Cricetulus griseus: one gene and its partner. The protein of the gene in region 1 purifies or fractionates together with the protein of each later gene. This does not show direct contact. Links are inferred from orthologs where the notes say so. Each region holds a gene or a part of one and is shown on either strand. Other genes may lie near its edges.

Evidence for each region.
Region 2: the proteins of Ptpra (region 1) and Src purify together in Homo sapiens (co-immunoprecipitation; 4 studies listed by BioGRID and IntAct, with this or other methods). This does not show direct contact. The link is inferred for Cricetulus griseus from reciprocal best matches to the Homo sapiens genes PTPRA and SRC.

The regions. Positions count from the first base shown.
Region 1 is NC_048599.1:48,155,550-48,159,847, forward strand, and holds the start of Ptpra (receptor-type tyrosine-protein phosphatase alpha), read right to left. Parts: upstream 2,960-4,298; 5' UTR 2,837-2,959; intron 1-2,836. UniProt on the Homo sapiens protein: Tyrosine protein phosphatase which is involved in integrin-mediated focal adhesion formation.
Region 2 is NC_048599.1:22,117,605-22,121,906, forward strand, and holds the start of Src (proto-oncogene tyrosine-protein kinase Src), read right to left. Parts: upstream 2,867-4,302; 5' UTR 2,633-2,866; intron 1,876-2,632; exon of another isoform or gene 1,746-1,875; intron 1-1,745. UniProt on the Homo sapiens protein: Non-receptor protein tyrosine kinase which is activated following engagement of many different classes of cellular receptors including immune response receptors, integrins and other adhesion receptors, receptor protein tyrosine kinases, G protein-coupled receptors as well as cytokine receptors.

The DNA of each region.
Region 1 (4,298 bases):
ATCCAGAAGGATGTTCATTGTATTACTGTAAGAGAAAAACATAGAAATAAATGTTTGACATAAAGACTAGTTACAAATACAAATAATAGTCCTATGTACAGACAAAACAGCTTATTATACAGCTGTATAACAAAGTAAGAAATGTGAATACTGGTTGTTCTTCAAGAAGACCTGAGTTCAATTCTCTGCACCCATATGGCAGTTCACAGTGGTCTATAGTTCTGGTTCCATGGGCTCCAACAACCTTTCTGGCCCGCAAGGGTACTTGGTCCGCAAGCTGTACACAGACATTTATGCAGGTAAAACAACCATACACACACATTTTCTAACTAACTTTTTAAAAAAGAAATGTCAATTCAAAGAGTAAGCAAAAGTTTCTGTTAATATGGGATGGGTTCCTAAACATCTAATTTAGAAAAAGTGAGGTGTGACTGGTATGGCCACAGAGAGAGGAGCAGATGCATGTTTATAAAGGAGTAGGGTTTATGGAAAGCCACAGATGCTCAGCATTTCAGCCATCCTTGGGAAGGAGTTAGCAGATAAGAGGACAGGAAGATTTTCTTCCTCTACATACCCTTTTGAATGCTAGAATTTCCCTCTCCAATGCTTTAATTATCTTTCCCCAAACTGAGTAAGAATCTATCTCAAGAGAAATAATCATGCTCTGGGTATAAAAGAATGTGATTCTACTTCTGGGGGTCCGGGCCACTACCTCCTAAACTGCACAGGTAACAATTGGGGGCATTATTGCCCCCAAATGACTTCCCCAAGTCCCTGACTCTTGGTGCCTCTAACATTGTCAAAACCCTAACACAACAAAATAAGTCTTCACTCTGATCCTAAGCTCACCTCCAGTCCACCTATACGTCTTCCCAGTTCCTCCAAGATGGCTTGTGTTCCCTCCCCTCTCCTATATGTGCAGTCTATAATATACAAATTATAGGATGTCTCCTTTAGGATTTGAAGACCTTCTCCCAGGAAAGCCTTCCCAGACTACCCAGGCAGAGGCTCTGGAAAGAGATTGTCAGAATTCAAATTCTGTTTCCTCATCTGTCTACTCATTTCTAGTCCTGATGAGCCCTTATAATTATTGAAAAGATTAAGCGAGATAATTCATGTAAGGCATTTATTATATAGCCTGTCACAGGCAAATAGAAAACAGCAATTATTATTGCTCTAATAGCACCTATGATGTAACTGTTTATATCCATCTACCTGCCCTGCATTGGTCTATAATCTTCTCAAAGATAAGAATATGACTTTCTCACTTTCATTTTGAATCCCAAGCACTTTGCCTGGCAAATAGGTGACATATGAATGTACTAAATCAAGGGGTTTGCTTTTCTGGTTCTGTGTTCACCCACATACTAAATCAGTGGCTAAAAGGTACCCAGTGAATAGTCTCCTGGATCCAAGCATGCCTCAGAGTAAACTCGGGCCACTTGGGGCAGAGAGGGGTAAAAAGTAACTAAGGAGTTTTTGGCCTTTCAAGGGCAGATTAGAAGCAAGTAGGATATAAAGCCTACCAGTCTCTCCATGATGACTACTTCTGGGTGCTGGGTGCCACAGACATGGAGAGACAGTGAGTATGAAGATCCTAACCCACACTCCAAACAGGCCTTCAGGAAACACTAGGAAACATTCCTCTTGGCAAGTAGTTAAGAATCTACAAGATAACTAGGAAGAATTCTAACAGGGAAAACCTGAAGAAGACACAGCCCCTGTCCTCAAGAAGTTTCTCGAATGAAAAGAACTCTAAAGGAACACCTGGAACATGGCAAGAAAAGGTGGGAGGAAAGGGGAACCCAGAAAGCAAAAACCTCCCCAAGTATGAAGGATCAGGCAAGCAGCTCTGAATGGCTAAACACTGGGTGGAAAGCAAGGAGAATGCAAGGATCGAGGTAACCATAAAAGATCAAGTTCAGGCGAGATTGTCAAGAGCCTTGTAGAAAATGATAATGCGTTTAGGGTTCCATTCATCTCATGGGGGAAGGAAAATGACAGCATCACATCTATGTTTTTGAAAGCAGTATCCAAGCTGTCCTAGTTAATCCTCATCCACCATCTTTTGGCTCTCTGGCTGCTTCAATAGTTAGCAGGTAACAAGTGATGCCATATCCGGGGGCATGAGACTGGTTTTCAAAAGGGATTCCCTCTCCTGGCCAAGGGCTTCGGCCGGCATTACTCTAAGAGGGTTTGGAGCATTCCTTTTTTGTCTTTCCTGTCTTACAAATATCATCACTGACAACGCCAAAACCCCGAATCTATCAGGATCAGCTCTGCCTTTGTAGTTTTTAATTTCAGGAAATACAATTAGGAGTTAGCCCCCTACCCCAAGCGGCAATTTTTAAGATTTACTGAAAGTAAACAGAAGAGATATGCGTTCCCAAGAGGCTCGTTTTGAATTCTGGGCAGCTCTGAGTCCATATTTTCCTTCTGAAGCATACACAACAGTTGGGATCGGGCGGCAGCGAGGGGCTTGGGAGGAGGAGCAGGGAAGGGTTTCAAGAGAGAGTAGAAATGATCACTGCGTGAGCCACCTTTCTCCTCCCACTAAATGGACCTGAGCAAATACCGTTCTCGCTGCTCAAAGTTTTTTTTTTTCTTTCAGAATGAACTATGGCAGCGCCCTGGCCCGGGCCCCAGGAGGACGTCCGCAAAGTTCCAGCCTGTCCGTGTCCCGCACGTTTCCGGGACCCCCTCCCCCTGTCCACCGTGCCAGGATGCACAAGCCGGAGGCGCTGCTCCGGGAAAGGATCCAGGGACGGCTCCCACGCGCGGCCGGGCCATCCCACCTTCCCAAGCCCACCCGACGGCGGCAGGCGCGAATGCTTACCGAGCCCGGCGCTGGGCGGGACCGCGGGGGACGCGCACAGCAGCTCCGCCTCAGCACCGCGGTGGCGGCGACTCGGCCCGCCGCTCCCCTCAGGGCCGCCGCCCGGTCCGCTGCTCGAAGCCCCGCGGCGGCGGCGGCGGCGCCCTCGCCTCCATGGCGAGGAGAAGCGGCAGAGAGAGGTCTGGGCGGGAGGCTGCGATGGCGGCGTGGTCCAGGGGGGTCTGTGCTAGATGCCCCCGCAAGTCCCTGTCAGCGCCTCACTCACCGCTGCCTCACTCCCGACGCGGCCTGGGCTGTAAGGCGCTTCGTCATTGGCCATTGAGAGACGGGCGCTGGTTCGCTGACGCTAGGCGGGCGTCTCCGCCTCCACGGGCCCCACCCCTGCGCGCCGAGCTGCGCCGCGGAGTTTCCCAGGAGCTGAGGGGGGCGGGGGGGGGGGTCTCCGGGTACCAAGACAAGATGCTCCCCACCCTGCGGAGGCGCCTGTCTCCTGACACCACCATCCTCTACCTCGCCATAGTCCTAGGCCCCTGGGCATGGGCTTCCTTCCCAGTTTACAGATGAGGAAACTGACACCAGGCACAAGCCACGCCAGAATGTACCAACTGGGGAGCTTAGGCATCTCTCCACCCCTTTCCAAATGTGATCCTTTCTGCGAGGTACTTAAAGGATGAAGAATGTAATTGTGAGGAGAGAGGTATTTGCCTAGTCTCTAGAACGGATCTTGCTCTGTGGATGTCATCTTTAATAAACCAGCCCACATCATCCCCACCCGAACCCCAGGGAAATCTCTCTTGCTTTCCAGATGTGGATGCTGGGCCCGAGGCTCTAGAGCTGGGTGGAAGCGCGGCACGTGGTGCTCTGTCGCGGGCGGGGAGATGCCTTTTGATACAGGCCTGGTGGTGGTGGAAGGGAAGATTGAGAGCACTGTGAGACCAGAGGTGCGGACTGTGTTCTCATACGTCTGGGCATCAATCCCTCGCCTAGAGCTCCAAAGCCATCTGGCGGCGCTTTGGGAGGTAGCGCTTCCAGTTGCGCACCTTGCTTGTTTTAAGACCTGTGGCGCCAAGTTAGTACTCTATGCACACGCTTCTGTATTTGTGGAATAAATGTGTAGTGACCAGAGCCAGGGCCTGGGAATTAAGTTGAAATAGGCCTTCTTTAAACTTTTTTCCCCCTGGGTATTAAAACTCCTCGAGTAAGGTTTGATTCTGACTCAGCCTCTCCCTCGGCAGGTTCATCCCAGAGACAGCCTACCCAAGACCTCTATTCAGTCTCCTAAATGTCAGATTCCAGCCAATGAGGACTGCTCCTCTTACATGTGCAAGGAGCAGATTTCCTGGGAAGTACAAGGTCTATCAGAGATGCAAATACACAGCAAATCGAAACGTGACTAAATGAAAGTTCTGGTTTTGCACTGGAACTCAATGCATGAAAAAACAAAACCAACACACACACACAC
Region 2 (4,302 bases), about 26 Mb from region 1:
CTCTGTTCCCTAGGCCTTGCCCTTATCACAGCCATGATTATATATTCATTTATCTGGCCACTTGGCTTATCCGCCTTACTCCAGTTTCTAGAAGCCAAGGACCTGTTCACAATTTCCCAGCAAGTCCCCAGGCAGATGACCTTCTGAGCAGAGGGGAAGAACACTGGTCCAGCTGCACTCTTGGCTAGCTGGCCACTGCTTGCTCCAGCTCAAGCTCCTCCTTCAGGAAGCTGTCGTCCTCCTACCACAAAGCTGCTCAACAAAGTTCACAGGCCCTAGTGCATAGTAAGTGCTCAATGTACGATCAAAGACAGCCGAGGACCAGGTGGATAACAGGGACAAAAACCATTTAGCCAGTCCTCCTTAGATCCTGGGACTTAGAGGACCCAGACATGCTCCATTCCCACCCCTACTGTCAGATGAGAATGGGGTAAAAGCCCAAGCAGGAGGCAGCCTATAAGCTGGAGGCTGGTGGGGGGCTGGGGAAAGGGACACGACAGGAAACAGAAGAGGATTGGGTGGGAGAGATAGGGTTGCCCTAAGGCTGGAAGAACAAGGATGAACATGAGATGGGGCGTGCCCCTAACACTCATTCTCAGTGTGTACCCCAGGATACAAGCAGTCAGCTGAGAGGTGACACACTATAAGTCACTTCCCCTTGTGGAAAGGCCACCTCACCGGGACACACCCCATCTCCAGCAGGGCCTTATGGCTCTGCCAGGTGGGGGTGATATGGGAGGAGTCTTTTTCCAACAATGCCTTGTTCCTGACCCCAAACTATACAGCCTTCACTGTCACTGCAGGTTAAAGGGCAGCCAGCCAGCTCCTCTGAAGTCTAAGTTCCAGTTCCAGCTGCAGACTGAGCTAGCCCCAGGAGGAGTTCAGTGAACCTCAACAGCTCTGATCATCATGGCTCCACCTGATTTATCTGTCCGTCCTGTAGTGCCAAGGCTAGCACCAGGGCCTTGGGCATGCGAAGCCTGTGCTCTACCACTGAGTGCCTTCACAATCTGATTGATCATTCCTTTCTGACAAGACTGAGGCAAAAGGAACCCAGAGCTGACTATATTCACACAGCTGTGGGCCACAGGAGGGTGCTCGGATATTGAGGCTCTAGGGCACCCTTCGAGACACAGTTACCCTCTCCTGCAGGCAGCTGTGCCACAAGCACCCCAGTCATCTTGTGCAGGCTCCAGGGTGGAACTCATTTATTGACACCCCACCCCATGCATGCCAACTCCTTAGCTGCCAGAAGCACAGGGAGTAATCACCTGAGGACCCTGTCACTGCTGTGAAGGATCCAAGGAGCAGCCCCCAGCTCAGATCACCCAGGAAAACAAGAGACTTTGATGCTTGGACTCAAAAGTCTGGAAAGAGCCCCATCCCCGCCCGCCCCGCCCCACCCCCGCACGCGCCCCGCCCCCATGCCCACCTTGGAAACTGAATCTGACTTCCACCCAGGTGAACCCATCACCATTGCTCACACAGTTTGTGAGTCAGGGAAGACCTTGTTTAGGGCCTCATAAGCCTCACACGTCTCTGTCCACTTTTCTCCCTCTGAATACCTTAGAGGTTTAGGGGTTACCCAGGGAAAAGTCCCCTCTGTCCACTCCACTCTTCAACCAGCCTAGCAGTCCTGGCCGTCTACCCATCACTGAGAAGGGCCTTGGCTCAGAGAGCTAAGGCAGTTGTCTCCAAGACACACAGCATGACAAGTGGTGGTTCTAGTGGGGACACAAACTCACCTCCAGTACCTGCCCGGGTGGGCAAGTGGACCTAGTAGTGGTACTGAAACACCAAAACTTTTGCCAACTTCGGAGCCGGCAGGTCGCTGGGCCCGAGGAGGGGCGAGGCTGGGGGCTGGCGGGGGTGAGGGGAGGACAGAGTGGCCCAGTCTCCGCCAGGCCAACAGCACCAGGCCCTAACCGAGGCCCGGAGACCCAAGGAGGTCGCGTGGCCACCAGGGAGCCCAGTCCCCAGCGCCCACCCCACCCCCAACCCCCACTCCGGGCCGGGGGCGCAGGGCCCCGCAGCCGCGATCGCGGGCGGCGCCGATCGGCCGGGTTTTCAGATGTGGCCTAGCCGGGCTGGGGACTCTGCGGCCGAGGGTCCCCACGCGCCGGTGCCCCCCGCGCCCCGCCCGGCCTCCCCCGCGCATCCCAACAAAAGGCCGCGCCGGGCAGGTCGCGGGCCGCGGCGGGGAGTGGGCAGGGCGGGAGCCCGCAGCGGGGCGCGGGGCTGGCGGGGCGGGGGCGCTCACCTGCGGCGCGGCCGCGGGCTCCGGACGCGCCCGGGCGGACCCCAGCGGGGCGCGCAGCGCTGGCGGGCGGCGGCCTGGCCGCTCCGGCGGGGCGGCCGGGTGGATTCCGGGCCGGGAGAGACAGACCTAGAGAAAGGGAGGAGGCGGCGGCGGCGGCGGCAGCGGCGAGGGGGAGGGAGCGCGCGGGAGGAGGGGCCGCGGCCGATGCGAGCCGGAGAAAGAAGGAAGCGCGGACCCGGGCCCCGCCGGCGACCCGGGGGACCTGCTGTGCGAGCCGGGCCCCGCGCCTCCCGCACCCAGCCCCCTCCCCGCAGCTCCACCCGCGGGGGCGCCCTCTCGCCCCGGACCAACCTAGCTACCTGAGCTACGCACCGATGGCTAGCACTATCTTCCAGACACGGAAACTGAGGCAACTGGCCACACCAGCTTTGACCTGATTGTCTTTAACCAGAGACTGGGACCAGAGGGGCAGAGTGAGGAGGAGAGAGGCAGCTTTATTAAAATGTATCAAGAGGCGAAACAGTGGCTCACTATGTGACACAGGCTGGCCTTGAACTTGTGGGAGGCTCCAGCTTCTGCCTATGGAGGGCAGGGACTGCAAGCATCAGGCCAGCCCTAAATTCATTTTCAGCGCATGCAGAGACCACGTACATCTGCTGGGAAGTATGCAGGTAGTCAGCCACTGAGGACAGCAGGATCAGCCAAACAGGAAGTAGAGAAGGAAAATGGGATAAGGGGGCGGGATGTGGTTTCAGGTTGGTCTCAAAGACCACCCCTCACAAACGCCAGTCCCTGTCCAGGTTCTAGGGCTGCCCCTTGGGCCAGGGAGGGGGTCCACCTCTGACTCCTCCGTTCCCCTCTAGAAAGATGAATCCGACCATCTGCCTCCATCCTCCTTCCTTGAAAGTGCTCCCATCTCACAGGTGGCCAACTGAGACCCAACCAGGTTAATGTGGCACCAGGCCTGAGCTTTCTCCTGGTGGAGACCCCTCCTGAAGGGCAGGTTCCCATCCTCCCAGAACATAAGAGGCTCCAGCCTCAGGGTACAATGTATGTCCCAGCAGGCCAGGAAGGAGCAAAGCTTTGAGTCAGGCTGATCTAAGTTCACATCTAGGCCAGGTGCCTCAGGGTTTGTTCAGTCATCAGTTTCCTGTTCCAGCCTCCTCCCGTTGTGAAGTAGGTAGGAGTGGACAGGACTGGGATCTGAAGGCCGCACTGCTGAGTGCAAGTGTGGCCAGGGTAGCCCACTGAGCCAGAAGAGAGAACGGGGCTGCTCAGGATCCTCATGAACAGCAGGCAAAGTAGCCACTCCTGTTTGCAAGACTTGCTTAAAGTTTAACGGCAGTTTCCCAGGACTCCCTTGGGCAGGCCCTGGCTGGAGGAGCAGGTTTCTCCGCCCTCTTCCCCGCCAAAGACTTGTCTAATGGCCTTCACTGGCCACACTGGGCTGGGGGAAGGGTGGCTACTCTTCCTGTAAGGTGCTGGAGCTGGTTCTCAGAGGCTTGCAAACACTTAGGACCGCTGTCCTCCTTCTCAGGGCCATATTCAGTGATGTCAGACTGGTCACCTGGCATCGGCCTCCAAGGAAGTATGTTCTACTTGGAAATGGAGAAATTTGACAAACCATACCTTAGCTTTTTCTTCCAGAGAGTTGCTTGTTAAATATTTGCCAGCGTATCACTACATCCATTGCTGGAAGTTCAACAGAAAGATCTGGACATTGGGCGTTTCCAAACCTAAGACGATGGAAAGCTTCAAAGTACAAACTTTGGACCCATGGGCTTGGGTTGAGGCCTCAACTCTACCTCTTTGCAAATATATAAATGACCAAGAACACGCCATTTTTCTGAGCTCAGTACACCAAAAACCTGCAAAATGGGTAAGGACAACTCATCCTCAGAATTGGCATGAGAGGAGAGAGAGGTGAGGTAGGTTTGAACTGTCTATGCGGCCTCACACCTGGAACTACCTCTAGCTCTGAGGTCACAGTAACAGCCAGGGCTCTCAGAGGAAATGGCCAGCACAATGGTTTCATTATGGAG